Linked DNA regions of Arabidopsis thaliana. The protein of the gene in region 2 interacts with the protein of the main gene of each other region in a pairwise test. Each region holds a gene or a part of one and is shown on either strand. Other genes may lie near its edges. The genes, in order: NTMC2T5.1, AGO1, AT3G02750 and FSD1.

Region 1 (8,094 bases), 730 kb from region 2:
TAGATTCTTCACTCTGTCTTGTTACTGCCGTGGGGTTCATGTCAGACCCACAAGGCCACAACAGTCTTGACTGTATGTTTCTTCTTGTTTTTCTCTGTAATACTATTAGTAAAAATATCTTAAAAAGGAATAATTCTGGTAAGGTACTATCAGTTACACTTGAAATACATGTCAAAGACTAACAATTATTCATGTACTTTTCTATTCACATGTTTTACTGGAATTAACAATAGTTCATCATTTTCAAAAATTGTAGAAATAATGATTATTATGTCAGTGTATGATTGATTCCTTTATAATTTCTGTTGTTTTGTTATTGTACAGTCTCATCCGAATCTAACACCCCAAGATCGAACAGAGATATGTCGATGTCTCAACTACAAGAAACTAACAATGGAGACGTGCAAACAGCTCGCCAGAAACCCTAAGATCCCTCCAGAAATCGCCATTGAAGCACTCAAGTCCAGATGTGGGAATCAAGAACACACAACTTCAGATGTTAAAGTTGCAAACAAGAGTTTTTCTTGTAGATATTCAGAAGAGAAGAAGAAGCCTGTAGTATTGCATCTCGAGATAACAGAGAAATTAGCCGAGAGGTTGAAGACTAAAGGAGGATATAATTTGAAGGTTATGGATAGTTTCAGAGAAGGCTTATGAGGAAAATGGTAAACGTCCCAAGTCATGATTCAGCAGTCACATCTTCCAATTCATCTGGCAATCTCATTTGCACCCCAACAGTGTCGAGAGTCTTGTACAAATCATCAGATTCAAGGGGTTTCTTATCATCGAAAGCTATGAATTCACAAAGCTTGCCTTTCACTTCGATCCAACTAAATCCTGGCGATTTCACCACCTGTTGATCTTTCATTTGCTTTCTTACCCGAGCGACTTCATCCCAGTTTTGGGATTCCGAGTACAAATTAGCCAAGAGAGTGTATCTCCCACTATGACTAGGTTGCAGCTTGATCACACGGGAGGCTGCGTATTTACCTAACTCATAGTCTTTGTGTAACAAACAAGAGCCGAACAGAGCTCCCCATACCACATTTGTTGGCTCCATTGGCATTCTTTCTATCAAAGCTTTCGCCTCTTCTAGCAAACCTTTTCTTCCAAATAAATCAACCATACACGCATAGTGATCCGCTTTTGGCTCCATATTGAAACGTCCCTTCATGCTCAGGAAAAGCCTTCGACCCTCTTCCACAAGACCTCCATGAGCGCAGGCACTTAAGACAGCCATGAAAGTAACTTCATTTGGTGAAACATGACTACTCAACATGGTATAAAAGAGATCAAATGCATCTCTAGCATATCCGTGTGCTGCAAATCCATTAATCATCGCGGTCCAAGTATACACATTTTTCTCATGAAGTCTCTCAAAAACAAGTATAGCTTCCTCTAAACACCCGCACTTGACATAAAGATCAATCAATGTAGTTCCAGCTGTAGTGTTTATCTCAATCGAATTCTTAATCATATAACAATGCACCCTTCTTCCTCGGTGAAGTGCCCCGACATGAGCGCACGCCGAAAGAACACTGCTTAGAGTCTTCTCATTAGGCGCAACATCACTCTTTAACATCTCCTCGAAAACCAACATCCCTTTATCGAAGCAACGGCTTTGCACATATCCAGCAATCAACGCCGTCCAAGTAACCACGTTTCTGCTAGGCATTTCATCGAACACTTTCTGGGCATCATCATAACAACTACATTTCCCATACATATCTACTAGAGAACTTCCTATGAACACATCGCATTTCACTCTCCCTGTTTCTAAGTAAAGCCCATGAACGCTTCTCCCAAATCGAACATCTTCAACCTTCCCTGCAGCTTTCAAGACGCTAACAACGGTCATTTCGTTAGCCGCGACTCCAGTCTTCTTCATCTCCACGAAATACACCATTGCTTCCGAAGCAGAACCATTTCTCACAAACCCATCAATCATTGCAGTCCAAGTAACCACGTCCTTATCTTCAGCTCCATCAAAAAGACGACTTGCAAAATCGAATAACCCAGAACTAGAATAACCCGAAATCAACGAATTCCTGACAAAAGGATCCGAATCCAACCCGAATTTAACGATATGAGCATGAAACTGAAACGGGTTCGAGTCTCTCAGTTTGAAAACCGCTTTGAGAAGCGGAGGAAACGTGTGGCGGCTAGGGATGACGCCGTTTCGCCGCATATGACGATAAGCAAGAAATGATAACCGACGGTTGAGAGTAATCCCGCCGGAGAAGTGACCAATGAGCGAATCCCATAGTTGAATGCTCAGAGTTTGGAGTTGACATAATAAACGACGAGCGTAGCGGAATTGAGTTGCGGCGGTGCAGCAGCGACGGAGAAGACGTGAGAGAAAGAGATCGCGACGAGTATAGAATATCGGAGAAGTTAGGAGTAAGCAATGGATCTGCTTGAGATGAAGAAAGTGTAATGGAAGATCAAGCAATGTTTTGAGCTCAATCATGTGAATTGAGAAGTAAGCAAAAGAGAGAGAGAGAGGGGGTGGTTAATACTTCAATTCGAATTTTCCAGTTTTCAGATTTCAGATTTCAAAGGAACCGAACCGAACCGACATTAAACCAAAATTCCCATTCAATTGAATCGAAGTGACTCTGAATATCAGTCGGTTTAGTTTTTATATATTTTTTTTAATAGCCGTAGAGGGGGAGACGAGGGTTCGATCCACGTGTCAAACAGTCCAGAGAAAAAAACAGAAGTAAGAAGAGAAGAAAATGAACTTCTTCTTCTGCAATTTTTCTAACTTTGTTAGCTTCTACAGATTTTGCTACGAGCCATTGGAGAAACTGTTATTGCCCTAAAGATATGCGTTATTTTTCTCCTTCTTCTTCGGATACGATTCATAGATGATTCCACAAACTTCTTCTTCGAATTTTGATTTCCGATTACCTGTTGATGTGTCTTGCACTCTGCTCTGTCCATGCTCTAATGAGCTCCGCGCGGTTTTTTTTACAAGGAGTCGGGTTCTGCGTCCGAGCGTCAAAATTTCGAACTTTAGGTTTATTTCCTGTGGATTTCGTGGGAATTCGAAAAACCTAAGATTGACGGATTCTAGTAGAAAGGCTGCAAATAGGTTTGTAATTGCTAGGTTTACGAATGAATTTGAAGACGAGGGTAGTTCGAAAGAGTCCAATGACCAAGCCAATTTCAGTAACTTTAGGGAAGATCCGATAGTGGATAAGCTTAGGACCCAGTTAGGTGTAATCCATCCACTTCCGTCACCGACCATTAATCGTAGTGTAATTAGTCTATTCGTCTTCTTCTTTTTCGTTGGTGTTGCTTTTGATAAGCTATGGACTTGGAGAAAGAGGCAAAGAGAAACAGGTGGAGATGGAAACCAACGAGGAGTAGGGCCATGGCCACAGGTTCCCACCAGCTTCTCTTTGTTCCTAGAGAAGGATTTGCAAAGGAAAGAGTCCGTGGAGTGGGTCAACATGGTGTTAGGGAAGCTCTGGAAAGTGTATAGAGCGGGTATTGAGAATTGGCTCGTTGGTTTGTTACAGCCTGTGATTGATGACTTGAAAAAGCCTGATTATGTGCAGAGAGTTGAGATTAAGCAGTTTTCTTTAGGGGATGAGCCGTTGTCTGTCAGAAATGTTGAGAGGAAGACATCTCGCCGTGCCAATGACTTGCAGTACGTGTATACTTGTTTGGTACTAACAAAGTTTTCTGCGTTGATTAATTGCTGGGATTGCTCTTACTTGGTTTCAATTGTATATTGTTTTGCAACCATTGAATCTCTTGATGAGATTTATTTGGCTTTCATTTCAGTTAGAGTTCACGAAATAATCTTCATTTGAAGAGTGACCTTTCTTTGAGCATGATTTATGTACATAATTTGGGGCATTGGCTACTTCAAACTGTTTATCTGTGGCTCAGTTCGAGGTTTCTTATCATGTCATTCTTTCCTGTTATAGGTACCAAATTGGCCTTCGGTATACTGGCGGTGCACGCATGTTGTTAATGCTCTCTTTGAAATTCGGTGTTATCCCAATAGTTGTTCCAGTTGGTGTCCGAGATTTTGACATTGATGGTGAGCTTTGGGTCAAACTAAGATTAATACCGACACAACCTTGGGTGGGAGCTGTATCATGTTCGTTTGTATCACTTCCAAAGGTCACATTTCAACTTGCAGCATTCAGATTGTTTAATCTAATGGGTATGCGTTTATCTTGGTCTTCTGATCCATTCCCGTGATATTGTTTGTGTTGCTTCCTTCCTATCCAAAAAATTAAACAGACAAGCCTTTTTTAGTGAAATTTGAAACTGGTGACGATATAATGGGGAAAGGTTAAGTCATCGGCGATTGTTTTAGTGAAGAGAGTTTTAGCTTTCGCGTTCGCCGCAACTCACACATTTTATTTTTCTTTTGTCATGAATGGCATGGATTATGAATTCAGGAATTCCCGTTCTATCAATGTAAGTTCTGTTGTGGCTGTTACTTCACGATTTTTTATATTGAAAAACTGTCCATATCATTGTTCAATACTACATGGACTTAGTGGATAGAAAGGGCCACTTTGCTTGCTTAGATGATGTTCTGTATTTTATCTAACTGCAATGAACTTTTACTAATTTAGCGAGCATATAGTGTAAGATGCTTTGGTGCATTGTTCTGGTTAGATACCAGTATTTCATTTTGTTTACTGTGGAGTCTTTAAGCTCCTCGACGTTTTGCAATAGTGGGTTCCTTCTTCCCTCCTATTATTTTACCCAGCATCGTCTCTTACAGGTTCTTGACCAAACTGCTGACTGTGGATTTGCCTCGATTATTTGTCCGACCGAAGAAAATTGTCTTGGACTTTCAGAAAGGAAAAGCTGTTGGACCTGTTTTAGAAGACCTGAAATCAGGAGAAATGCAGGAAGGCAATAAGGATTTTGTCGGGGAACTATCTGTTACTCTTGTTGACGCCCAGAAACTTCGATACATGTTTTTTGGTAAGCTATAGTTCCTTTACATGTCAGTGTTTCCTTCATAGTTGGAAAAGTGGAATAGACAGACAATCTATTGCTGAAGTATCAGCCTCTTTGTGCAAGTTCAGTCGACTTTCTTGGGAATAAAGTAGCTATACTAATTGAGTCTATTGGTGAGATGTTTTGTTTTCCTCGGTAATTGGTAACAGGTAAAACGGATCCATATGCAATTCTCAGATTAGGGGATCAAGTTATCCGTAGTAAAAGGAACAGTCAAACTACTGTCATTGGGGCTCCTGGTCAGCCAATTTGGAATCAGGTGAACTGCTTTGGATGGTTCATTCACAATCTGGTGGTGAATTATGATTATTTAAGGATTGAAATGTAAATAGATAAGTGTGTATTCTTTAACTTTGCAGGACTTTCAATTCCTTGTTTCAAATCCTAGAGAGCAAGTATTACAAATTGAGGTCAATGATCGTCTTGGGTTTGCTGATATGGCTATTGGTACTGGAGAGGTAAATAATATTTCCTTGGGTACATATTTTTTTTTGTAATCTGTAGAATAATAGGCGTTGAGTACGTATTCTGTGGATCTCTTTAATGATTGCTTGAGGAATGTTGCTTAATATTTATGTTACTGTCTGCATAGCCTTATTATTTAGTTATATGTCCAGGTTGATCTCAGATTTCTGCAAGATACGGTTCCTACAGACAGAATTGTGGTTTTGCGTGGTGGTTGGAGTTTGTTTGGAAAGGGATCTGCGGGTGAGATACTGCTACGGCTTACATACAAATCATATGTGGAGGAGGAAGAAGATGACAAGACCAATGTCAAAGCCATTGATACTTCTGACGATGAAATGTCTGATTCAGAAGAACTTGGCTCATTTGTGCGGAAGGGAAAGCTTTCGTCAGATGATATTGATCAAGAGTCATTTATGAACGTGTTGTCTGCATTGATTGTGAGTGAGGAGTTTCAAGGCATAGTTTCATCTGAAGCTAGAGACGGTATAATTGATGGTGGTGACTCACTTGGGGCACCAGTACCTTCTAAGCCAGATACTAGTAAGGGGTCTGAAAGAAACGCAGATGTATCAAATTTGGATTTGTTAGTTGCAAATTCTGGTAGAGGAGCTGGCGGTGATGGAGGTATACCGAGGCTCAATCTCTTACGATGATTTCCTTTCTATGCTTTCTTGACCTGAAACTGTAAAACCTCCTAATTTCAGGATTAGCATTACTGTGGTTCGGTATTATCACGGGTATATTGGTTCTTGTTGCTATCAACATGGAAGGCTCAAGTTTCTTCAACCCGTAGTATAGTACTATACATCTCGCTGGAGATTTCTGTTGCAAGTAAGTCTCTTAATATATACCTCGAGAACTTGAAATTTCTTCCCCTGATGTGATTGGACAGACAGATTCTCTTTTTGTCAGTTGTTTTCCTTATATTAGAACGTGGAACAACACTGGTTTGTTCATATAGTCAAGAACCAAACTTGAACTTCTTTTTTCCTAGAATAATTATGCTACTTGAAACATTAAAATTGTAGATTCTGTTACTCTTTCTGCTGCTTGTAGTGTACCGAAAGTCAAAACTGGACATCAGGCTTTGTATTTGATAAAATTATGTGTGAATTGAAAATGAGTCAGTTGATTCTTCTACCTTGTGTGACATAGTTCAGTCCAGATATTTTCATGTCAACCTTTTGCCTACCGTGTGTGATAAGCTTATCAAGGCCTCTTTATTTTGTGGCAGGTCTGGTGGTCATCTCTTCTCAACCTTAGATATGGCTTATAACGAGGTCTCAGTTTTGTAATTTAATTTTGTATGTAAATAGCCATTAGAAGAGGGACTCTTACTAAAGGCAGGAAGGTTTGGATCTATTCTGTCCAAGCTCTCACTGTTGTGTTACTCTTTACACTTGTGGTTGATATACAGTACATAAAAAAAGATAGAAACTTTTGTATATTTTGACCAAAAAAAAAAGAGAAAATTCTGACTTTTCGGAAATAAAATATAATCATCGATTGTTTCAATAGGATTGGTAGTAGGAGCAGAACTTGGTTCGTGGAACCATCCTTCATTTCCATTCCCTTATGGTAAGATTGTGGTATTTCATGATTCTCAAATAAAGTTTGACAAAGATAGACTGATCGAAAAGGTGGAGCCTCTTGTTAACATGGGACAGATTAGTTGTGTCGCCGCTGAATTCCATGATCTCACTGATGGCAGACTCAATAATGGTTATGGTATTGAATGAAGCTCTCACGTCCATGTTCTGTTGAGGCTTACAAGACTGTTCTAGTTGGTGGGGAAGTTGTCCGAACCGGAACATAATCCAAACCGAACTGAATTAAATTTTTAAAATTAAACCGAACTGTCCGACCACTACAAAGTTTTTTCGAATTTGCACATTAAATTAATTAATTTTTGTGGCATTTTGCGATCAGTTAACGAGTGGATATGAGGTAGCAAACGTAGAAAGGACTCGAGAAGTCATGGCTTCTGCTTAATCTCCTCTTCCTTAAAAACCAGAAGATCCTTTGTTCCACGTTTCTCGTTTGTAGCTTCTTCTCTCTCAGAATTCAATTCGAATTTTGACAAGTCTTGACGAAGAAGAAGAAACAGAGCTGCTTCAATGGCTTCTAACTCATTACTACGTTCTTCTTCAAATTTCTTCTTAGGATCCCATATCATAATCTCATCTCCCACCCCTAAAACCACCAGAAAACCCTCTTTCCCTTTCTCCTTCGTCTCCCGTGCTAAATACCAAATCACTCGATCGTCTCAAGACGAAAATTCGCCAAATGGTAAACCCAATTCGCCATTCTCGTCGCAAGTAGCCTTAGCAGCTATTCTACTATCTTCAATTTCATCTTCGCCGCTAGCTTTAGCTGTAGTGGACGAACCAGCTTCTCCGTCTGTCGTTATAGAATCTCAAGCTGTGAAGCCATCGACGCCATCGCCATTGTTCATTCAGAACGAGATACTTAAGGCTCCTAGTCCTAAATCATCGGATCTCCCAGAAGGATCACAGTGGCGATACAGCGAGTTTCTTAACGCTGTGAAGAAAGGGAAAGTCGAGAGAGTTAGATTCAGCAAAGATGGTTCTGTTGTTCAGCTTACTGCCGTCGACAATCGCCGTGCTT
Region 2 (9,593 bases):
AATACTACTATTAAAACAAACAAATCATTCCACGTGATGACTCCACCACATTCCCAAAGTTTAGAAAAATTATCAAACCCTGTCATAAAGTAACACTTGCCTAAAATCGCAGGTCTTTTTTTCTACGAAAACGAAAGAGAGTTTTGTAAAGTAAATTCATATGATCTGCCCCCACCAATTCATCATTTATCTCTTTTTTTTTACCGCTTGTTAAAACTCATAATCAATGCATCCCTTGACCTTAGAACAAAACCTGATGAGTCCCACACACATGTCACTTCGCTGTCCATGAAGTTTTTTGACCGGAGGTCAAAGTAATTTAATTGACTTGATGTTAAGAAATGATATGTGCAGAGAATCGAATGTTTCTTTGTGTGTGTGGTGAGTGTGTGATGGATATAATTATTGGAATTGAAATGTAATTTATGTAAACTTCTAGATTTCGAAGGCATAATAACTCTCTAAAATAATTGAGAATTGGATAATATCCGATGATTAAGATAGCATTTACTTACAAGTAATGTTTTCGATAGAATTAATGGTCACTATCCAAATTCCAAACCATACGCTAATGGCTTCCAAAGGAAAACTAAGACTTTATGGAGTTTTACATAAAGTCTTCGTTCAAACATCATTTTCATAAGTCTTTTGTAACTTTCTTCCTCTTAACGGCTTCCTACAATATCTCGATTTAGAACTCCAATCAACATCTAATATTTTGTCTACAACTTTATGTTTTTTCACCTTACTATATGATCTAGACAATCTTTTGTTAGGTAAAGTGTCTAGATATTCTTTCACCTAATTAACACGGAAACGTAAACTTGTACAAAAACATCTATTGATTATAGAAGAGAACCGAGCCGTGAGAGTCGTTTCTCGTCAAGACCGCACCAATCGACTCAAACATGAGCCAAACTGTACGTAGTTCTTATAAGGAACACAAACCTCCATCGTAAACCAACGTTTTCGATCGGTTCTAGCTAGACTCGCCATGCATGCATGTGCGTTGGTGCCCGTAATTACGTACACCAATCTTGATTGATATCAATGCTTATATGCCGTTAATCTTCATCTCGACTCTCGAGGTAGTAGTACTTGACGAGTTCTAAGTTCTTCTTCCGTTATGAGAAATCATATATAAGTTCTTCTATACATCTCGCTTGATTATTATAATCTTTCGCCTTTTAATTTCTCGTTTGATTATTATAATTAATGTTTATAATGAAAAGAATCATTATTTCCCAAAGCAAACGAATCATTTTGAGATAGACTTACAGTTATCACAAAAAGAAATCTAAACGTTTTCCCCAAGATTTAGCCTTTCGTCAGCATGTAATTACTCGTGACATATTCTCTAGCTCATATTTCTTCTTCACGCACGAGCAACCAATTTTGTTATATATGTATAAATCATCTTTGACAATTATATATAATACAGATTTGTTACGAGTATATGAATTTTTTTGAGGTACAGAAGCAAATCAACTAGTGAAACTAAATTAAAGAGCTAACCATCAAATAAAGTAAATTGAATTAAACAAACAAATCATACCACGTGATGACAGCCACCACATTCCTAAAGTTAGAAAATTGGCAAACCTGTAAAAAAGCATCACTTCCCCGAAATCGCAGGTCATATTTCTATGAAAACGAAAGAGAGTTATCTATATAGTAAATGGCTATATTCATATTTGCCCCACCACCCATGACCCATCTCAGTTAATAAATAGTTCTTCTATTCACCTCTATACTATAATCATTCACTTTATCTTATATATAGTCTATAAAACTAAACGTAATTCGCATGATTTTGCCTTTCGTTGCATGAAAAATCCTCCTTGACAATGTACAATTCGTTAGTACTACTCGATCAGTCGCCTTGACTCACGACATTTTCTCTAGCCACTGTTTTATCTTCACACACAAGTACCAATTTTAAACTGTTGTACTTAACTGTATAACATCCTTTATACGTAACGTAAGCCAAAAATTATGATCTAATCAGTTACTACAGATTAATAATAAGATTAATAACGGCCGGTCTACTAATTTTGAACACTTGTGCATGCATTATCTCTCGTTGAAATAGTAAATTAATGCAACTAACTTTACAAGATTAATCGAGGTATATTATAGTCTAAAACAAATATTTAAATTAATGCAACTAACTCTTGAAGATTAATCGAGGTAACGCATCACACTAATCATATTTAATCGGATAATACATATACTGTTAGTAAAATAAATTAAAAAAGATTTGGTAGATAAACGACAAAAATGTTTTTCGTCTTGTTGTTTTCGAGAAGCTTCTTTTTCCGGATTAAAAAAACATTATGCAATTCCACGTCATCAGCGCATTACAAACAATGAAAGACTACACACGACCTTGGGTCAGCATTCCAAAGACCCAACCCTGACTCGCCACGTCGACATATGCCAGCTATTAATGAAGAGGGTAATTCCGTAACTTACTCTAACCACAGAACCCTTGAATTTAAAGTGTAGCAGTAAAATCTCATTTCTTTGAGTTATCTCGTTTGTTCGGAGTTAGAGAGAGAGAGAAAGATATAGAGAGAACACAGAGAGGCGAGAGCGACGTAGGGTTGGTGTTTCGTACGGATTTTCTCGGTCAATCTTAGTTTCTCCGGCGAGAGATTGCTTTTCAGGTAAAAATGGCGGCGGTTTTGGTGTTTGTTCTTCACTTAATCTGTGTTCGATCTGCGTATGAACTCGATTTTTCCACTCGATTGGGTGGATCCGCTTCGTTTTGGTGTTATGGTTCACTGATAGTGTTGTATGTTTAGTTGATCTTTGCGATTTCGGATCTATTAGCTTCGTAGCTGTTTTGGTGTGTGTGTTCGTCTTCGAAGATATTTAGGTTTTTTTTTTTTGTTGCTTCAAATTTCTTACTGTTTCGTGCTTGTTTTCTTACTTCGTTTTCTGTTTAGGTCTTTGATTGTTTCTTACTAGGTTTTCTATGTTTGCTTTGGGCTGTTGAATTTGGTTTTCTATCTCTCTAGCTAATCACTGGTTTTCGTGCTTCTGAGTCGTTTGTTTTTGAAGCTAGTTAGGGTTTTCTTCTGTTGCTTCTATATTTCGATAGTTTTGTGCTTGTTTTCAATGTTTGCTTCTTATTTTCAAGGATAATTTTAAAATGACCCACTGTTTTTGGGTGGTTGTGTTATTTTCACAGGAATCATCATGGTGAGAAAGAGAAGAACGGATGCTCCATCTGAAGGAGGTGAAGGCTCTGGGTCTCGTGAAGCTGGTCCAGTCTCAGGTGGTGGACGTGGTTCACAGCGAGGTGGTTTCCAGCAGGGAGGAGGACAACACCAAGGTGGAAGGGGTTATACTCCTCAACCTCAACAGGGAGGTCGTGGTGGTCGTGGATATGGGCAACCACCACAACAGCAACAACAGTATGGAGGACCACAAGAGTACCAAGGAAGAGGAAGAGGAGGACCTCCTCATCAAGGAGGTCGAGGAGGGTATGGCGGTGGCCGTGGAGGTGGACCTTCTTCTGGACCACCGCAGAGACAATCAGTTCCCGAGCTGCATCAAGCTACCTCACCTACTTATCAAGCGGTGTCTTCTCAGCCTACACTGTCTGAGGTGAGTCCTACCCAGGTACCAGAACCTACTGTTCTGGCTCAGCAATTTGAACAACTCTCTGTTGAACAAGGAGCTCCCAGTCAGGCAATCCAGCCTATACCTTCTTCTAGCAAGGCTTTCAAGTTTCCAATGAGGCCTGGTAAAGGACAGAGTGGAAAGCGTTGCATTGTGAAGGCTAACCATTTCTTTGCTGAACTGCCTGATAAGGATTTGCACCATTATGATGTGAGTTTTGTGTTCCCTTAGTATTAGCTACCATACATCTAATGTCTATTTATAAATTTACCTGACCAACTGTGTTCTTTCTGTTAGGTTACCATTACTCCGGAAGTTACATCAAGGGGTGTCAATCGTGCTGTGATGAAACAACTTGTTGATAATTATCGTGATTCTCACCTTGGAAGTCGTCTTCCAGCGTATGATGGTCGAAAAAGTCTTTACACTGCTGGTCCACTTCCCTTTAACTCCAAGGAGTTCAGAATCAATCTTCTTGACGAAGAAGTAGGGGCTGGAGGTCAAAGGTCTAGTTCTTATGGTTTCTTGTTGATTTTTTTAATAAGGAAGTTTCAGAATAATAACATCTTTCCTATTTTACAGACGAGAAAGGGAATTTAAAGTTGTGATCAAGCTAGTTGCACGTGCTGATCTGCATCACCTAGGAATGTTTTTGGAGGGGAAACAATCAGATGCCCCACAGGAAGCTCTGCAGGTTCTTGACATTGTTCTTCGTGAGCTGCCGACCTCTAGGTACTGGTTACTCATCCTATGGATGTTTGCTTCTTTACTACCATGCTTGTAAGTCTCAGCTGGTTTAGTTTTGCTAACATGTTAGAATCAGGTATATTCCGGTGGGCCGGTCCTTTTATTCCCCTGATATAGGAAAAAAACAATCATTGGGGGATGGCTTGGAGAGCTGGCGTGGATTCTACCAAAGCATTCGTCCTACACAGATGGGCTTATCACTCAATATTGGTGTGATGGCTTGCTGTATTACATTCAATAATTTTTGATATCTGGTTCTCCTTGAATGTTTAACTCATGGTTGTGCTGCAATTTTGTCTGTTTTGTAGATATGTCATCGACAGCCTTCATAGAGGCAAACCCTGTGATTCAGTTTGTCTGTGATTTGCTTAACCGGGATATTTCTTCTCGACCTTTATCTGATGCTGATCGTGTTAAGGTATGAATCAATTGTCATTTTCTGTAGTAAGTGAAATGTTGTATTAATCTACTCTTCTTTGCTTAGTGACTTGGAATCTTCTTCTGTCAACAGATAAAAAAGGCTCTTAGAGGTGTCAAAGTTGAAGTGACTCATCGAGGAAACATGCGCCGGAAGTACCGCATTTCCGGTTTGACTGCTGTGGCCACTCGGGAATTGACGTGCGTATTTGTTTTAGATTTACTACTCTTATTTCGCGAATGTTGAACTTGATGAAATTAATTTTTACTCTCTGTTTTTATCCTTTTCAGATTCCCAGTAGATGAAAGAAATACTCAGAAATCTGTTGTAGAATACTTCCACGAAACATATGGTTTTCGCATTCAGCACACTCAACTACCATGCTTGCAAGTTGGGAATTCTAATAGGCCTAATTACTTACCAATGGAGGTAACTTTGAAATACGTCATCAGGTTTTATTAGCTCACCAGTACTTCCGATTCTAATGTGTTGCTGCACAGGTATGCAAGATTGTTGAAGGCCAGCGGTATTCCAAAAGATTGAATGAGAGACAGATCACTGCTTTGCTGAAGGTTACCTGTCAGCGCCCGATAGATCGAGAAAAAGATATCTTACAGGTATGTTTCTTTATTTTCGATAACTTTGTTTTCCTTCACTTGAATCAAGAGTATCTTTTTGTCCGCCTATCTTGATAGTCGTTTTAAATAATGTATGCTGGTGATAAAGCCTCATTGTGGAATAGATCATTGTAAAATCTGTTTATTCTTACTTGGTTGCATGTGTTTACTTGAAGTAAGTGATTTTCTCAATTCATATCTAACTTGTTTTTAATCATATAAACTTGTGGCTGAAAGGATGTTATGGAATGAATGGCTTAAAAACCTGTTTCTTCTTTACTTGGATGCATATGTTTGCTTGAAGAGAGTGATTTACCTTGAGATGATGCCTTTACTTCATAAATAGTGAGGCAGATTACCATCTTCAGAGTTGTGCTCTTAATTTAGCAGCGCGTGTGTCTTCTGGCTGCTGTTGTTGAAAACTCAATTGTTTATTGCTAACATTATACAATATTTTCTGATTTCTAGACGGTGCAACTCAATGATTATGCTAAAGATAATTATGCTCAAGAGTTTGGCATCAAAATAAGTACTTCTCTGGCTTCTGTTGAGGCTCGTATACTGCCTCCTCCATGGGTATAGTAATCGTTCCCATTGTCTCTTTGCTATTACACTTTTTCTCTGTATCTTAATGACTCAAATTAGGGTTCCAATCTGATTTTAATGTTCTGCAGCTTAAGTACCACGAGTCTGGAAGGGAAGGGACTTGTCTGCCACAAGTTGGTCAATGGAACATGATGAATAAGGTAACTAGACGAAAATGTTCCTGGTTTTCAACTATGCACTTACATGTTTCTTGCTTGTGTTACCTATATATACCTATGCTGTCATTTTTATGTGAATATTTTGTAAATCATGGCTGAGCTGTATATTTCCAGGTAATTGGCAAGAAAATTGTTTATTTATTTGTCTGTTATGAGACATATTACTCTAAAATGCTATTCTCTTGATATGAGTATGGGTGTGGCACTTGACTAGTTGCAGAGAGTATTTTGTTCATGTAGCTATGTAGATACACACTGAATTTGTCTTTGTTATTTTTTGAAAGTGATCACAACGTTTTCTGTTGTCTGGCTAATATGAGTCTTCTCTGCAGAAAATGATCAATGGTGGAACGGTGAATAATTGGATCTGCATCAACTTTTCTAGGCAAGTGCAGGACAATCTAGCGCGTACATTTTGTCAGGAACTTGCTCAAATGTGTTACGTATCTGGCATGGTGAGTCTTTGGAAGCACAAACTTGATCAGTTTATTAACCTTTCCTACACTGATTCCTTCCCTTTAATTTTTTATTTCTTACCTGCAGGCATTTAATCCGGAACCAGTCCTCCCACCAGTCAGTGCTCGCCCTGAGCAAGTAGAGAAGGTCTTGAAGACTAGATATCATGATGCCACATCAAAACTCTCCCAAGGAAAAGAAATTGATCTGCTTATTGTCATTCTGCCCGATAATAATGGATCATTATACGGTATGAGCCATGGTCTCGGATGTTTCATTGTCTACTTCTGCTTAGGAACACACTCTCAACTTATTTTCCTTAATAATATCCATTGCAGGTGATTTGAAACGCATATGTGAGACTGAACTCGGCATAGTCTCTCAATGTTGCCTGACAAAGCATGTCTTTAAGATGAGCAAACAATACATGGCTAATGTTGCGCTGAAGATTAATGTGAAGGTTGGAGGAAGAAACACAGTGCTTGTTGATGCTCTATCTAGGCGGATTCCTCTAGTCAGTGATCGACCCACCATTATATTTGGTGCTGATGTTACCCACCCTCACCCTGGAGAGGATTCAAGCCCATCTATTGCTGCTGTAAGTTAGCTTCTCCTTTAAGATCTACTTCTGTATATGGATGCTTTTGTTTATTTTCATGGCCTTAACCTTTTCAAATTGTGCTTGTTTTGTTGACAACGAAATTTTTGTTTTCAGGTTGTGGCATCTCAGGATTGGCCTGAAATCACTAAATATGCTGGATTAGTTTGCGCTCAAGCGCATAGGCAGGAGCTCATTCAGGATCTGTTCAAAGAGTGGAAGGATCCTCAGAAAGGTGTGGTGACTGGTGGCATGATAAAGTACGTGTGGATGTTATTTAATATTTTCGTGATTGGGTTTTAGCTTTAGCTTGCTCTTAAGTAACAGATCTGTACGTTTCTCCCCTTACTTTTGAACAGGGAGTTGCTCATAGCCTTCCGTAGATCAACTGGGCATAAACCACTAAGGATCATCTTCTACAGGTATTAACTCTTCTTATGGCACTTACTTGACTAAATAACTTTCTGTCTTTCTTTCTGAAATGTATTATATGGTTATTCTGCACAGGGATGGAGTCAGTGAGGGACAATTTTACCAAGTTTTGCTCTATGAACTTGATGCCATCCGCAAGGTAACAGTTACTTCTAACAAATGGCTTGTGTTGCGTGCTCGTTTTCTTCTGTTTAATCTGATTATTATTTCAACTCATTTCAGGCCTGTGCTTCGCTGGAAGCAGGTTATCAACCACCAGTGACATTTGTGGTGGTGCAGAAGCGTCATCACACGAGGCTGTTTGCTCAGAACCACAATGATCGCCATTCGGTGGACAGAAGTGGGAATATTTTACCTGGTGAGACAAGTTTGGATCTTTGTCAAGCTTTTTGTGCGTAGACCTAATCAGCTGAAAATCCCTTGCATTGGTTTTTAACCCCTTTGTTAATTGTAGGCACTGTTGTGGACTCTAAAATCTGCCACCCTACAGAGTTTGACTTTTACCTCTGTAGTCATGCTGGTATTCAGGTATAATTTACAATCTCAAATGAGTTTGTGGGTGAGAATTTATTTGAAGTGTTTAACAAATCAAAACTCCATTAACAGGGCACTTCTCGACCTGCTCATTACCACGTTCTTTGGGATGAGAACAACTTTACTGCAGATGGACTTCAATCTCTGACCAATAACTTATGTTACACGTAAGATTTCTTACCTTTGTAACATATTCCTTGTTACAAGTGTTTGCAAGATTGCAAGGAAAATAAGAGTAACATTTAAACTACCTTTTTGATTTGTACAGGTATGCAAGATGCACACGCTCAGTTTCAATTGGTAAGTTTTGTGTTTCCCATCCCTTAATGTCATCTTGATTTTGATATAAAGAAGAGAGAGATTTAGTATTCAATGTTTTTTTTTTTTGTTTTGGGATATTGTAGTTCCCCCTGCATATTATGCACATCTAGCAGCTTTTAGGGCTCGATTCTACATGGAGCCAGAGACATCAGACAGTGGCTCAATGGCTAGTGGGAGCATGGCACGTGGAGGTGGAATGGCTGGTAGAAGCACACGCGGGCCTAATGTCAATGCTGCAGTGAGGCCACTCCCAGCTCTGAAAGAGAATGTGAAGCGTGTCATGTTCTACTGCTGAGTTGATTCACCCTCTATCTATCTTTATGACCTAAATTAATGAAGAATATCATGTATGCTTTCTAAGACTTATCGTGTGTTTGGATATTTCATCACTCTTTCTCTATGAGTATGAGATGCTTTATGACTCTTGTTTGACAACTACTAAAATTTATTATTCAAAACAGACTTTGATCCTTTCTTTAACTCGTCTTAAATCTTTATTCAAGAGATTTTGTGTTTAGAGATGTTTAGGTTGTTTGTATTGTCGACCACACTACTACATTGTAGGTATAAGCGTTGAGATCCAGGACTAAAATCCTGACTACAATTCTTTATATGTAGTCAGGACTAAAATCCTGACGTTATCACACAAGTAAACATGTGGTTTTGATTTAGAGGTTTGCGTGGAAAATGCCTAAAGTGGAACATTTACAAATTTTAAATTAGGCTGATTTTACTGCCTCTTTTATGCTTTCTAGTTTCTCTCACCCTGTCGGATATTTGCAGCATTTATGGTAAATTCTTCAAAGCCCATTAATTGCCATATATCAATCTCTCTCACTGATTTCATGCGTTTGCCTTTCTTTTTCCCTATAATTTGAAAATGGGGTTTTTGAATTTTCATTGAGCTTCCCTTGTTTGGCAGTTTCTCTTCCATCTCTTAACCAGCAAAGCAATCGACAGAATCCATGGATGCCTCTCAGTCTCCTCTTCCACAGTTGCCATCTCTCTCCGGTACACTTAAAAATTCAAACTTTGTATATTGTTTTTGTGCTTACTTTGTTTGATATGTTGGTGAA
Region 3 (6,621 bases), on a different chromosome or scaffold from region 2:
GTCATCAAGAGAAGCTCTTGATGAGTTGAGTATCATGTTTGAAGCTCTTAAAAGATCAAAGTGCAGTGAGAGAATAGTCTTTGATCTAAGTCTAGCTAGAGGTCTTGATTACTACACCGGCGTCATCTTTGAAGCTGTTTGTATAGGAGCAGAGGTAAAATCCCGCATTTTGGCTTCCTGCAATTCAATTAAAGAAATTGTAGTGTATGGCCTTTGAATTCTTCTTTCTGCAGGTGGGATCAATTGGTGCTGGTGGGCGATATGATAACCTTATAGGAATGTTTGGAACAAAGCAAGTCCCTGCGGTTGGGATGAGCCTGGGAATCGAGAGAGTGTTTAACATAATGGAAGAACTTAACGAGAAACAGAAACAAGTAACTTGCCAAACCCTTATGCTGTTTGTCGACCTTGTTTTAAAAGAATGGTTTTTGAAGTTTGTGTTATTTGCTATGAATATAGGTGATTCGACCAACGGAGACACAGGTGTTGGTTAGTATAATGGTGGATAATAAACTAGCGGAAGCAGCAGAACTGGTAAGTCAGTTATGGGGTGCTAAGATCAACGCAGAGTATCTAGTGAGCAAGAGGAAAGAAAAGCATTTCAATCGTGCAAAGGAATCAGGGATTCCTTGGATGGTGATGGTAGGCGAAAAAGAACTCAGTGGAAGTTTTGTGACATTGAAGAAGCTCGAGAAGGGAAGTGAAGAGAAAGAAGATCAAACATGTACTAGAGATCGTTTCGTGGAAGAATTGAAGAAACTACTCTGAGTCGTTGAAAAGAAATGAAAGGTACACACACTCACTCCTGGTTCGATGCCCAGACAAAAGGAATCACAGTGTTTTGCATTCTTTTTTGCTGTTTTCCTTGGTTTGTTTGATAATGGTGTTTTGCATGACTCATGATTGTGGAGACAAGAACTTAGAGATTTTGATGTTGATGAAGTTTTCCGTATTTAACTAATTAGAGGAGATATACGTAAATGTTAAGCCAATTATCAGAATTACGTTTCTTTCAAAAAAATCCTTATCCCTGATAACCTAATCTGCGATCTTATCAGAAAAAAGAAAGAAAAAATAAGTAGGAAATGAGGTGGAAGAATATAAGACCGAAAAGAGAAAATAAAACACAACAGGTAAGGTTGTCTCCAAAAATAAAAAAAGTGATCTGCAGATCTGTGTGATCGCATTTGCATGAGATGAGAGGAAGAAAGATGGTACGTGTTGGTTTCTGTACCTCTCTGCCGACATGTGGTGGCTTCAAGTAACTAAGGTCACTTGTGTATTCACATCTCACGTTTCCATTGACTATTGTCTCTACTCATTTTCGATTCAACTACTGAAAATATTTGGTAAGAAACAAACAGGCGATTTACCATCCCCTACTGATCATTTATATAAAAAAACAATGAGTTCTTTGGTTCCTTAAATAAGAAGAATTCACGGTGGTTATTCTTTTATATACAATAGTTTACTAAGCGATACAATAATTAAATCTGATAAAGAGTCTCACCCTCATGGGATGATTGACTGATTGTGAGACCCTAAATATGATTTTGATCTAAAAATAAATGATCTGTTTTATTGAATTTTCACAATTTTAATAATTCTTCATATTATATATTGATGATATTCTAGTGGATGTCGGAAAATTATGTGTAAGAAACGTCTTATCCAAGCCCATGTTAATTCTGCCAGCCTGAAACAAAAAAAATATAAATATTTTCATACATTAATACGTAAAAAATAATAAAATAATGATTCATCAGAAAGAAAAAAATCTGATAACATAATTTTTGGATGTATTATTAATATAGTTTTTTTATTATTAGAGAGAGTGACCCATCTCCATTACTGTTTCTATCTCTCTCTTCTCCATTCTCTCTCTCTATAGAGACACACAAAAGTAGAAAGACGAAGAAGAAGAGAGAACGGGTTTGTAGTTGGTGGTTGCGTTTCTTTCTCGTTTATATTCTTCTTTCTTTTTTGTTTTCATCTTTCAATTCCTTTTTTTCTTTTTTGTTTATAATCTAATCGACGCACGAACAGAGCAATCTCAAGCTCTTCTTCTTCCCCACAATTGAATCTGATTCTGAGATCCTCTTACCTTCTGTTTGATCTCTCTGTTTCCTGGTGAGTCTCCTTTCAGCTCGAATTCGAATTTGGCAATTCGATATTAACAAGTTTAGTTTTTTTTTTCTCAATGATTCTTCTTTTGATTGGTTGCAGACGAAGGAGATATTGTAGAGAAAGAAAGGGGTTCTCATGATTCTCGTGTTTTGAGTCTCTTTCCAGTATAAATTAAAACTTACACTTGTCTTTCTTTTTCTTTTTGGTGGAAATCTACGTAGATCTGTTCCTTTTTTCTCATAAAACTTTTGGGTTTAAATTTCTGTACAAATAAAATATTTGTAAGAAGAAAAAAACGTTTTTTTAAACAAGACTCGAAAAGGGTCAGACCCAGAAGTCTCATCTTTTACCTTTTTTCTTGGTCAGCTTTGAAAGGCTTCATCTTTTTTTTATTCCGTTTTTTTTTTCTTCATTCAATTTTGACGATTTGGGTTTAAAAATCACTGCTTGTGTATGTATGTATACTGGTTGTTGACGAATTAGATTTTGCTCAAAAGGGTTCTTGCACAAAGTAGCTGGAACTAAATTTTGAGGTTTGTTTCTTACAAACTAAATCATCATATCATCCTATTACTCTTTGTGGTGATCATTGGGATCTAAAGACGGGTTTTGTCTTCTTACAGAGATCTCTTTTGCATAGTTTGAATCATCATTGCTCTTTCCGGTGAGAATTGTGATCTAAAGGTTCAATCTTTCTCGCTGGAGGACCGTCGGGGTGATTGTACCATTGTTGGTCTGGAGTGCCTGCTCAATATAATCAGGGCCCTTAAAATGGGGTCCTGTTTATCTGCAGAGAGCAGGAGCCCTAGACCGGGCTCTCCTTGCTCTCCTGCTTTTAGTGTGAGGAAGAGGAAGAACTCTAAGAAGCGACCTGGTTCTAGGAACTCTTCCTTTGATTACCGGAGAGAAGAACCGTTGAATCAGGTTCCGGGCCGGATGTTCTTGAATGGATCAACTGAGGTTGCTTGTATCTACACTCAACAAGGCAAGAAAGGGCCTAATCAAGATGCCATGGTTGTTTGGGAGGTTTGTTAGATCCTCAAGTCTTCCCCCTTTTTTTTTTTTTATTGTTTCTAATTTGGGATCTGAGGTCCTATTGTTTCTTCTTCACTGATTGTTTCCTGTTTTCGTGCTCAGAATTTTGGTTCGAGGACAGATACAATCTTCTGTGGAGTGTTTGATGGACATGGTCCATATGGTCATATGGTTGCAAAGAGAGTCAGAGACAATCTTCCTCTCAAATTAAGTGCTTATTGGGAAGCAAAAGTACCAGTTGAAGGTGTTCTTAAGGCAATCACCACCGACACTGTCAATAATGTAACCAACATTAACAACCCTGAAGATGCTGCTGCTGCTGCTGCTTTTGTCACTGCTGAAGAAGAACCTAGGACATCTGCTGACATGGAGGAGGAGAACACAGAAACCCAACCGGAATTGTTTCAAACGCTGAAAGAGTCGTTTCTTAAGGCTTTTAAAGTTATGGATAGAGAGCTTAAATTCCATGGAAGTGTTGACTGTTTCTGCAGTGGGACAACAGCTGTAACCTTGATCAAGCAGGTATTGTCTCGGTTTGGTATGTTCAAAGTTTAAGTCTTATTCATTGTTTCATGATCTTTATTATGTATCCTCTGCAATATTGCAGGGTCAGTATCTCGTTGTTGGAAATGTTGGGGATTCCAGAGCTGTAATGGGTACAAGAGACAGTGAAAATACTCTTGTCGCTGTTCAACTAACTGTGGATCTTAAGCCAAATCTCCCAGGTTGGATTATCTTATGTGAATGTATGATGTTGTCCTGTGGATGTATGATGGATCCATTAATCATGTTTATTGGGTTTTTTTTTATTCCCTCAATTGAACTTGCAGCTGAGGCAGAGAGAATAAGAAAGTGTCGAGGACGAGTGTTTGCTCTTAGAGATGAACCTGAAGTTTGTAGAGTTTGGCTGCCAAATTGTGACTCACCTGGACTTGCTATGGCACGTGCTTTTGGTGACTTTTGCCTTAAAGATTTTGGCCTAATCTCTGTGCCTGATGTATCTTTCCGTCAGTTAACCGAAAAAGATGAGTTTATAGTGTTGGCTACAGATGGGGTAAATACTCTCTCTCTCAGACACATATCTTTTCTATTTGCAATTTTTGCTGCTCACATTTCTTTCTATTGTGATAGATTTGGGATGTTCTCTCAAATGAAGATGTAGTGGCGATTGTAGCTTCAGCTCCATCGCGCTCCTCTGCAGCAAGAGCTTTAGTCGAGTCTGCGGTCAGAGCTTGGAGATACAAATACCCGACTTCCAAAGTCGATGACTGTGCCGCTGTTTGCTTGTATCTAGACTCCAGCAACACAAACGCCATATCTACAGCTTCTTCCATCTCCAAACTTGAAGATGGAGAAGAAGAAGAACTAAAAGCCACGACTGAGGATGATGATGCATCAGGACCAAGCGGTCTAGGCCGTTCGAGTACTGTCAGGTCGGGGAAAGAGATTGCTCTCGACGAAAGTGAAACTGAGAAGCTGATAAAAGAAGCGGATAACTTGGATTCAGAACCTGGAACAGAGTATTCTGCACTTGAAGGTGTTGCAAGAGTTAATACACTTTTAAACTTACCAAGATTTGTGCCTGGAAAGTGAATAGAGAAAGAAGAGTTGAAGTGAAGAAGTTGAGAGGTGATTAATGATATCAAATAAATCACCCAAGACAAGGTACTGTGTCTTTTTGTTCTTTTGTTTTTCCTTTTCAACTTTCTTCATTGATCTCTATTCTTTTTTGAGTCATAATTCATTGGTTTTGGAACCTAAATTTTTGTCAGTTTTGTCTTTGGTTTATGTCTTTCTCTCTTGTTAATGTTTATGTTGTTTTTTGGTCTTGTCAGTAAAGAAGAGTGAAAAAACATCACATCATGTAATAATGGCTTGTGTCTGTAATTCTGTGAATCCCCTCAGGCTTAATTTTGTCAGTCTGTTGGGACAATTTCCTGTTTCTGTCTTTTCAAAAAGCTCCAATTCCAGTTACAGAATTTGTGTCAATCCCTTTCTCTCGATCATGAAAGTGGCAATTGTTTTTCAAGAAATGGGAATCAGTTCCTTTAATGATAAACAACAGAAGGAATAAACTTTGTCCCAAGAGGGTTTTTATCTGAAACTATAAAGCAACGTTACAGAAGAAAGGAATTAAGAGAGAAACAAGTGTAAGAAGTTTTGTAATAGCTAAAGAAGACGACCATGAGAGGTTGTGAGCACCAACAGTATAGATTGCTCCACTTTCTTCATCCTTGACTTGTATTCCTCCTGAGCCTGTGTGATTCAGTATTTCATTACAGTCAAAACACACCTAATACATCAAATCTCATAGAATTTGTGGCAATAAAGACAAAGATAGGATTTGTAATGCTTACAGTTGTGATTGGTCCATCCAATGACTTGGTTTTCGATATCGTAGACAACTAACTTGTTAGAGAGGGCCATGTCTGCGCAGCGAAACAAATCAACACTCAAATTTTTTCAGCAATTTCAGGATGAAAGTCATTTTTAAAAGAGATATATGTACCTCCAAGAATTGTTAATGAAGCTCCTCCTTTAGTCTGCAATCCACCATTTTGCCAGCCAAAACACCATGTGTCTTCCTATAGTCAGTTTTTTATGTCAGAACAAGAAAACAAGAACACGAAGTTAGAAACAGGAACAAGACTTACTCGAACTTGGAATAGATATTCCCGAGGATAAACCGCCAATGAAACAGACTTGTCAAACTGAAAAGTGACAGTTGGGAACCGATCTAATCTGTGAATTTGACAGAAAATTTCAGAGGGTCAAAACATCAAACATTATATACTAGGTGTATAAAATCAGTCATTCCATCAGATTCAGCTAAATCCAACTCCATTTCAATTCCAAAAGCAAAAACTAGTACATTTCCAGCAAATAACAGTACCATTTCAAACATTCTCACTAAACACCAAGAATGACAAAGCGATGAGTTAAATTCTTACTTGTCTGTATAATGGAAACAAGTAAACGACTCTTGAACTGTATGCAAAGTAAGCTCTGGATGTGAAGCCAATATCTGATGGAAACTCAAGGGAAAAAAACATAAGTGTTAAGAACTTTGTAAAATAAGACAGAAAGAATTCACAAGTAACAGAATATAGTACTGACCTCATTCAGTAACGGGTTATAAACAGCATCAGGAAGATACACCAGAGTTGTACCACTATCAATAATAACTCCTTTGTCATCTCCCGAATCAAAAGCATTCGAAGAAAGTTCTAAAACTGAATTACCAACTTCAATTGCATTGAGGTTGACACTATAGTGAGCTCTGTGAAAGAGTTGCAAACAGTGTAAGAAATTCAAAACTTCTTGACAAAGAACCAAAGAAGAAGAGCTTTAAGAGAAAGGCATTCACTTACGATTTAGAGAGCATAGGTGTAGTCTTTACTTTCGGCGACACGACTTCTCCAATGGCGAATATACCACCTCCATTGTTGTTATCCAAAC
Region 4 (6,575 bases), on a different chromosome or scaffold from region 2:
CCTTCCTCCCGGAGCCACCCGAATCCGCTGCGCCATTTGTCACGCCTTCACTCTCATCGCCCCCGAGCCCCGTCTCCAATCTCACGCGTCGGCGAGCCCTTTTCCTTTCCCCAACTCATCTCCGGCTCCATCCACTTTCATCTACCCGCCGCCAACACCTTCTCCGTACACTCACGCGCCGCATGCACCGTCTCCATTCAACCACGCGCCTCCAGATTCTTACCCGTTCACTCACGCGCCTCCAGCATCGTCTCCATTCAACCACGCGCCGCCGGGTCCTCCACCGCCGGTACATGGACAGAAGCGAGCGGTGATAGTCGGGGTTTCTTACAAGAACACAAAGGACGAACTCAAAGGATGTATCAATGACGCAAACTGCATGAAGTTCATGTTGATGAAGCGTTTCCAATTCCCTGAATCTTGCATTCTTATGCTCACCGGTATTATTCTATATCATAAAATGTCATAATTTGTGTAACACGTAAAAGTAATGTTAAAAGTGTCAAAATGTTGTAGAAGAAGAAGCGGACCCAATGAGATGGCCAACGAAGAACAACATAACAATGGCGATGCATTGGCTTGTTCTTAGCTGCAAACCGGGAGATTCCCTCGTCTTTCACTTCTCCGGTCACGGCAACAACCAGATGGACGACAACGGCGACGAGGTTGACGGCTTCGATGAGACTCTTCTCCCGGTGGACCACAGGACTTCAGGTGTCATCGTGGACGATGAGATCAATGCTACAATCGTACGGCCGCTCCCTTATGGAGTTAAGCTCCATGCCATCGTCGACGCTTGTCATAGTGGTACCGTCATGGACTTACCTTATCTTTGTAGAATGGACAGGTACGAATTCAATAATTATTGACTTCTTGTTATGTACGTGTGTATGCAGACCTCGATAGCTTGTAGAAATGTTTAAAAAAACAAAAAACAAATGGAGACCATATAGTTCTTATATTGGTTATAAACCCTATACCCTATGAACTAACACAAATAAGAAACTGCTTATGCATAGCACATGTAACCCATTTTTTTTTCTTTTCTTGATCCTTCGTTTTAGGCTCGGAAACTATGAATGGGAAGACCATCGGCCTAAAACAGGAATGTGGAAAGGTACGAGTGGCGGTGAAGTCTTCTCCTTCACAGGCTGCGATGATGACCAGACCTCGGCTGACACTCCGGTACATTCCCAACTATTGGCCATATAAATAATCTCTCTAGATTTCAAACAACTTTTGATAGTATTTAGCAAGTCCAGTCAAACCATCCACATTTTATAGTTTCACCGAGATGTTATAGTCTTATAGTAATTACCCCATACCTTCATTCTAAAAGTACTCCTCACAAAGAAACGTGTGTGCACTACAGCAATTGTCAGGGAGCGCATGGACGGGGGCAATGACTTATGCATTCATTCAGGCCATAGAACGTGGCCACGGGATGACTTATGGGAGCTTGCTGAATGCAATGAGATCAACGGTTCATGAGATCTTCGACAAAAACAAAGGTAGAGAGCTTGTGGAAGTGGGAGGTGCTGATTTTCTCTCTACTCTTCTTGGTTTGCTCATCTTAGGCGCTTCTCCTCCTGATGAGGAAGAGGAAGTAAACCAAGCCCCTCAAAAAACTCAGGTGATCCATTCATCTATACTAATTATTTTTATCTAAACTTAATTATCATGAACAATTATGATCATTAGAGCTCACTCATATAATATTGCAATATTGTTATGGCTATCTCCAACTTAGAAGGATCTTCATGGACCAACATATTTTAGTTTTTTAATGATTGGTCATACATCTTCAATACATCAAAAACATTAGTTTGAAATTTCACATTTTTACATTAGATATTAGAGATCCAAAATGATGTAGTTCTCACCTATAAAAAGAAAATTCATAATAGGGATCGATTAGAAAATATGTAAGGAAATACTAATTAAAGTCACGAAATTAGTCTTGTCTAATGGAAAATTAAATCGGTATAAATTCTAAATATAACTTGATGTATATATAATTGATATAGTAGTGAATGATTTTTGTAGCAAGATTATGTGAATTGATTTGCATTGTTGACAAGATATGTTGGTATATTGGATTTGCTTCGGCAGGAACCACAGTTGAGCGCTAACGAGGCATTTGCTGTATATGAGAAGCCCTTCTCTTTATAATATCACCTTAAGAAGACAAAAGAATGAGTATGAAATTTCGGAGACCAACAAAAAAAACTTTATTGAGCTTGGAGTGAAGCTATATATATGGGGCAAGATCATAATATGTTTATATCGGCCTTTTCATTAACTGAAAATAATAGTTTTGAGAAATATATCAAATGGTAAACAGACATCATCTTTGAAAAATACCATCAATGAAGTTAATATTGTTATTGGCATATGGTTTACCCATCTTAATTTTAATGCAACCAAACAAACAAGAAACAAAAACTGTATAAGATACAAGGTGTTTTACGATTTTCCGTCTTAAAACCGAAATATTTTTGTTCCTACGACTTTAAACGGACTTTGCTTAAGTTGTGTGCATGTAAGCTCGTCGTCCCTCGATTGTCATCAACATTCACCAATATCAGCCTCTATCACACGAGTGAAGGTGGTGATTCGGCTTAATGAAAACAGAGAAATATTTCAATATGATTCCTATTAAATTTTAAATCTTTTTTCTCAATCTCTAGATTTTCATTAAAAGCATCATGATTTTTTTCCACTATGTTCATATATCTCTATCACAGTTTTAGGTACATTGTAGAAATTGGATAAGATACGTCATACGTCTAACATGAATTTGGTCTAGCAAGGAAGGTTTGAGATAATAAGTGAAAAGAAAACACAAGATAATAAATTATAATTTATAAATGCTTTATAGTATTGAAAAATAAGATGATTTTTTTTTTTTTTAATACCGGATTGGCTGATCCACTTATGATGACTCAAATGTTATTAAGTTTCAAGACAATTTATGATGACACAAATCACAATGAGTCAATAGTAGCCACGAAGCCAGAAAAAAAAAATGTACTACAAAAAGATAATGATAGTACAAAATGATACGTCGTACTGCCACATGTACGACACAACTCGATTACCAAAAAGCAGAGCCATCCAACCATAAAACTCAAAACACACAGATTCCACTGGCGTGTGCTCTCCTCACTTCACTCGTCCTTGAAACTTGAGGTACTGATTCTATCTCTCATCCACATCTTAGTTCATGTTCGAGTTTCTCTGGTCTCTTACTCTTTCACCTAGAAATTTGTTTGGTCTCCCAACAACATAAACGCATGTATACATTTTCATGTGTCTTTGTAAGGATATTGATTCATTTTTTTGGGCAAATAGATAATCAATTCAATGCTATGTTTTGTCTGAAATGTGCAGCTTCAATTACAAAGAATGGCTGCTTCAAGTGCTGTCACCGCAAACTACGTCCTCAAGCCACCTCCATTCGCACTGGTACTTTCTTATGATAAAGATTGATATTGTCGGCAAATGTCATTTTGTTTTCGTTGGACTATAGATTTTGCTTTTCTATTACTAGATGATATAACTTGTTGCTCCCACAAAGCCCTAAAAATATCTTTTCATCCTCGTCAAAGGCGTTACAAATGATTTTCAGCTATTATTAACGGAAAACCAATACCAAAAAGGCGTTACAAATGAACTCCTCTAATTCATATTTGAAGAAAATAAAAATCGAATCAATCTACGCATTAGTGTTTTTCCCGGAAATTAATTGTAGGAACGGGTCAAGTTGGGTGGTCCATATTGGGTAAAGGCCGTGAATGTTCTAGTTGGTACGTACTATCCGACATTTGTCAAATGGGAAATTTGGGTATGGCCATAGGGGTTAGGTATGGGTCAACATATCTGAAATGATTTTGAAACCATAGCTTTCATAGAACATTGATTCTTAATTGACCCTCAATTGAACTAGTGAAAATTTGTTGTTTTTGTATACAAAAACTATCTCAATCTGACCCGTTACTCAAACTACACTAAACTGTCCAAATCATATTACTTTGTAAGAAAATTGTTACGTTGTGTAATGTCAATGTTAGATTCATAAATCTTTAACTAGTATATGACCACTCCTAGTTCAAATTCAGATGTTCCTTGGTCTGATATTTTCGTTCCTTCTAGTGGACCTATTGGTTGAGTCATGAGTGAGAGCAATAGCCAATATGATGAAATGTTTTTTTGATATAAAATTGGAAAGGATGCTTTGGAGCCGCATATGAGCAAACAAACTCTGGAGTTTCACTGGGGAAAACATCACAGAGCTTACGTGGACAACCTCAAGAAACAGGTTCTTGGAACCGAGCTTGAAGGCAAGCCCTTAGAGCACATTATCCACAGCACTTACAACAATGGTGATCTCCTCCCTGCTTTCAACAACGCTGCTCAGGTGATAATTAACAAACCTATTTTTAGTTTGAGATTATAAAATGGGTGTGTGATTGGTTAGCTGATGATCCATTGGTTATGTTTATAGGCGTGGAACCACGAGTTCTTCTGGGAGTCAATGAAACCAGGTGGTGGAGGAAAACCATCAGGAGAGCTTCTTGCTTTGCTTGAAAGAGATTTCACTTCTTATGAGAAGTTCTATGAAGAGTTCAATGCTGCTGCAGCCACTCAGTTTGGAGCTGGCTGGGCCTGGCTTGCTTGTAAGTGTTTCAAATGTTTAAGAGCTTTAGATAAATATATTAACTTCTTCCTTACTCTTATCTCAATGCTTTCAGATTCAAATGAAAAACTCAAAGTAGTGAAAACTCCCAATGCTGTGAATCCCCTTGTGCTCGGCTCTTTCGTAAGTTTTTCATTAAGGAACTTGAATACACAATTTACTTGATTAAATATCACCGTAGAGTTAATGCAAATCCTTAACTTTTAATCTTGGTTAATTTTCTTGCAGCCATTGCTTACCATTGATGTCTGGGAGGTAAATAAACACTTTTATAGCTTGTTTGTCTTAAAACCTATTTTCTTTCTTACAAATTTTATTGATAATTTTTGTTTTCTTTTGCTACATGAACAGCATGCTTACTACCTTGACTTCCAGGTAACAGCTTATTCATAATTGTTAGCAACAAGGTTTTCTTGAGTTTCTTTGTGTTGTTGATTGTTTCAATCTATTTGTATATGAGCAGAACCGAAGACCAGATTACATAAAGACATTCATGACCAATCTTGTGTCTTGGGAAGCTGTAAGTGCCAGACTTGAGGCCGCCAAGGCTGCTTCTGCTTAAGCAAATTTCTGAACAATTTGACTTCAGTGACAGTGAGTTCTGCATCACCGAAGTCTCTTATAAAATATTGGTCGCTGTAATAAGGACACAGCTCTCTTGTTGTGTATGTGTCACAGAGTTCTTCATTTTGCTTGTGTAATGAACAATTAAACATGCTCTTTTCTGAGTGTGTGTGCGTTTTGTGTGTGTCAAGTTTTTCATCGTCTCCTTTATTAAACTCAAATTGGCACCTACCATCAGTAATTCATAGTTTGGCATGGCCCATTATTCAATTGGACATTTATAGTTGTAATAACGTGGATGCCCCTGTCCCATTAAAAAATCACAATTCATCACCATAGCTGTTAACAAATCTCGCATTGCTGTGCTAAAAAAATGAGAAATATTGATATAATAGATCATTTTGATTTTTGGATAAACAAATCAGTTTACAATGTTAAGGTGGAAGACTTTAGACTTGAACTAAAAAACAAAGATGTTAACTGTAACAGGGTAAGGACGTTGGTGTTTACTATTTTGATATTTTGACGTTGGTTAGGTAATTGACTTAGAGCTTTTGATAGATGAATGATTAACAAAGGAATTAGAAGATGGACAACCATGTTGGAAGAATTTTGAAATATTACATTTTTAATACTTAGGTGTTAATTGTCTGATGAGGTTTTGTATTCGGGTCTTTAATTAATCTACCAATGAAGAGAGTTGACCAAAAAAGGCAAAAAAAAATTGTGGGCCAGTCGGCCCATGTCTTATTTTCTTTGAATATGTTTAGCTTATTTATCTCTCTGTATACATGTTGGAATATATTTTGTGCGTTATCTAATATAGTGGTTGTTGATTGTGATGGTCTGATGGACGTAGCCGTTTATTTAAAAAGAATAACTAAGCGAAAATTTCAGGTCGTCTCGTATTACATGCCAAAGAGTTTCTAAATCCGCCAGAGCATTGACTTGAGATGCAAGAAACAAATTATTTCGTTTAATCATCATTTTCCTGGCTCCCCCGTTTTGTTTCCCTTTGAGATTGTCCGTTAAAAAGGGGACGAACCAATGCAGAGAGTGAGCTTTGAAGTAAAGGACACAGAGGCGGAGAAGAGCAGCAGCGAGATACTGAGCGGATCTTTGCCGTCGACCTACCGAAATCCGGCGATGGAAAACGTTGGAAACGCGGTGGATGATGGATCGAGCGTGAAGAACAATCCGAAACTTGATATGCAGAAACAGAACGGTTTGGTGAAGTGGTTCAAGAAGTGCTTGACAATGGTATCTGGAGAGAGTAAGGCACCTCGATTGGACCGGTCGAAGTCAACGGCCG

Evidence for each region.
Region 1: the proteins of AGO1 (region 2) and NTMC2T5.1 interact in a two-hybrid assay, tested with the Arabidopsis thaliana proteins (one study listed by BioGRID).
Region 3: the proteins of AGO1 (region 2) and AT3G02750 interact in a two-hybrid assay, tested with the Arabidopsis thaliana proteins (one study listed by BioGRID).
Region 4: the proteins of AGO1 (region 2) and FSD1 interact in a two-hybrid assay, tested with the Arabidopsis thaliana proteins (one study listed by BioGRID).

Annotation. Positions count from the first base shown.
Region 1 is NC_003070.9:18,616,420-18,624,513, reverse strand, and holds NTMC2T5.1 (N-terminal-transmembrane-C2 domain type 5.1), read left to right. Parts: upstream 1-2,556; 5' UTR 2,557-2,870; coding exon 2,871-3,658; intron 3,659-3,941; coding exon 3,942-4,183; intron 4,184-4,424; coding exon 4,425-4,443; intron 4,444-4,756; coding exon 4,757-4,962; intron 4,963-5,147; coding exon 5,148-5,257; intron 5,258-5,357; coding exon 5,358-5,456; intron 5,457-5,615; coding exon 5,616-6,090; intron 6,091-6,170; coding exon 6,171-6,259; 3' UTR 6,260-6,297; intron 6,298-6,700; 3' UTR 6,701-6,921; downstream 6,922-8,094. Other genes in the region: AT1G50280 (Phototropic-responsive NPH3 family protein), read left to right, coding at 325-657; AT1G50270 (Pentatricopeptide repeat (PPR) superfamily protein), read right to left, coding at 680-2,470; FTSH1 (FTSH protease 1), read left to right, coding at 7,584-8,094.
Region 2 is NC_003070.9:17,885,504-17,895,096, reverse strand, and holds AGO1 (Stabilizer of iron transporter SufD / Polynucleotidyl transferase), read left to right. Parts: upstream 1-2,500; 5' UTR 2,501-2,669; intron 2,670-3,196; 5' UTR 3,197-3,204; coding exon 3,205-3,840; intron 3,841-3,927; coding exon 3,928-4,136; intron 4,137-4,212; coding exon 4,213-4,362; intron 4,363-4,447; coding exon 4,448-4,587; intron 4,588-4,685; coding exon 4,686-4,795; intron 4,796-4,888; coding exon 4,889-4,995; intron 4,996-5,085; coding exon 5,086-5,224; intron 5,225-5,295; coding exon 5,296-5,412; intron 5,413-5,880; coding exon 5,881-5,988; intron 5,989-6,086; coding exon 6,087-6,158; intron 6,159-6,508; coding exon 6,509-6,631; intron 6,632-6,719; coding exon 6,720-6,882; intron 6,883-6,970; coding exon 6,971-7,230; intron 7,231-7,347; coding exon 7,348-7,490; intron 7,491-7,589; coding exon 7,590-7,652; intron 7,653-7,737; coding exon 7,738-7,801; intron 7,802-7,884; coding exon 7,885-8,020; intron 8,021-8,116; coding exon 8,117-8,190; intron 8,191-8,268; and 10 more. Other genes in the region: AT1G48405 (Kinase interacting (KIP1-like) family protein), read left to right, coding at 9,483-9,528.
Region 3 is NC_003074.8:591,735-598,355, reverse strand, and holds AT3G02750 (Protein phosphatase 2C family protein), read left to right. Parts: upstream 1-2,600; 5' UTR 2,601-2,898; coding exon 2,899-3,153; intron 3,154-3,264; coding exon 3,265-3,684; intron 3,685-3,769; coding exon 3,770-4,216; intron 4,217-4,293; coding exon 4,294-4,755; 3' UTR 4,756-5,149; downstream 5,150-6,621. Other genes in the region: AT3G02760 (Class II aaRS and biotin synthetases superfamily protein), read left to right, coding at 1-154, 234-374, 460-768; AT3G02740 (Eukaryotic aspartyl protease family protein), read right to left, coding at 5,267-5,418, 5,520-5,591, 5,672-5,747, 5,817-5,904, 6,114-6,187, 6,280-6,442, 6,534-6,621.
Region 4 is NC_003075.7:12,883,335-12,889,909, reverse strand, and holds FSD1 (Fe superoxide dismutase 1), read left to right. Parts: upstream 1-3,007; 5' UTR 3,008-3,192; exon of another isoform or gene 3,193-3,393; 5' UTR 3,394-3,408; coding exon 3,409-3,468; intron 3,469-3,754; exon of another isoform or gene 3,755-3,809; intron 3,810-4,231; coding exon 4,232-4,420; intron 4,421-4,507; coding exon 4,508-4,679; intron 4,680-4,754; coding exon 4,755-4,822; intron 4,823-4,927; coding exon 4,928-4,954; intron 4,955-5,050; coding exon 5,051-5,074; intron 5,075-5,162; coding exon 5,163-5,261; 3' UTR 5,262-5,610; downstream 5,611-6,575. Other genes in the region: MC2 (metacaspase 2), read left to right, coding at 1-440, 517-847, 1,065-1,185, 1,373-1,633, 2,113-2,172; AT4G25090 (Riboflavin synthase-like superfamily protein), read left to right, coding at 6,311-6,575. UniProt on the Arabidopsis thaliana protein: Destroys superoxide anion radicals which are normally produced within the cells and which are toxic to biological systems.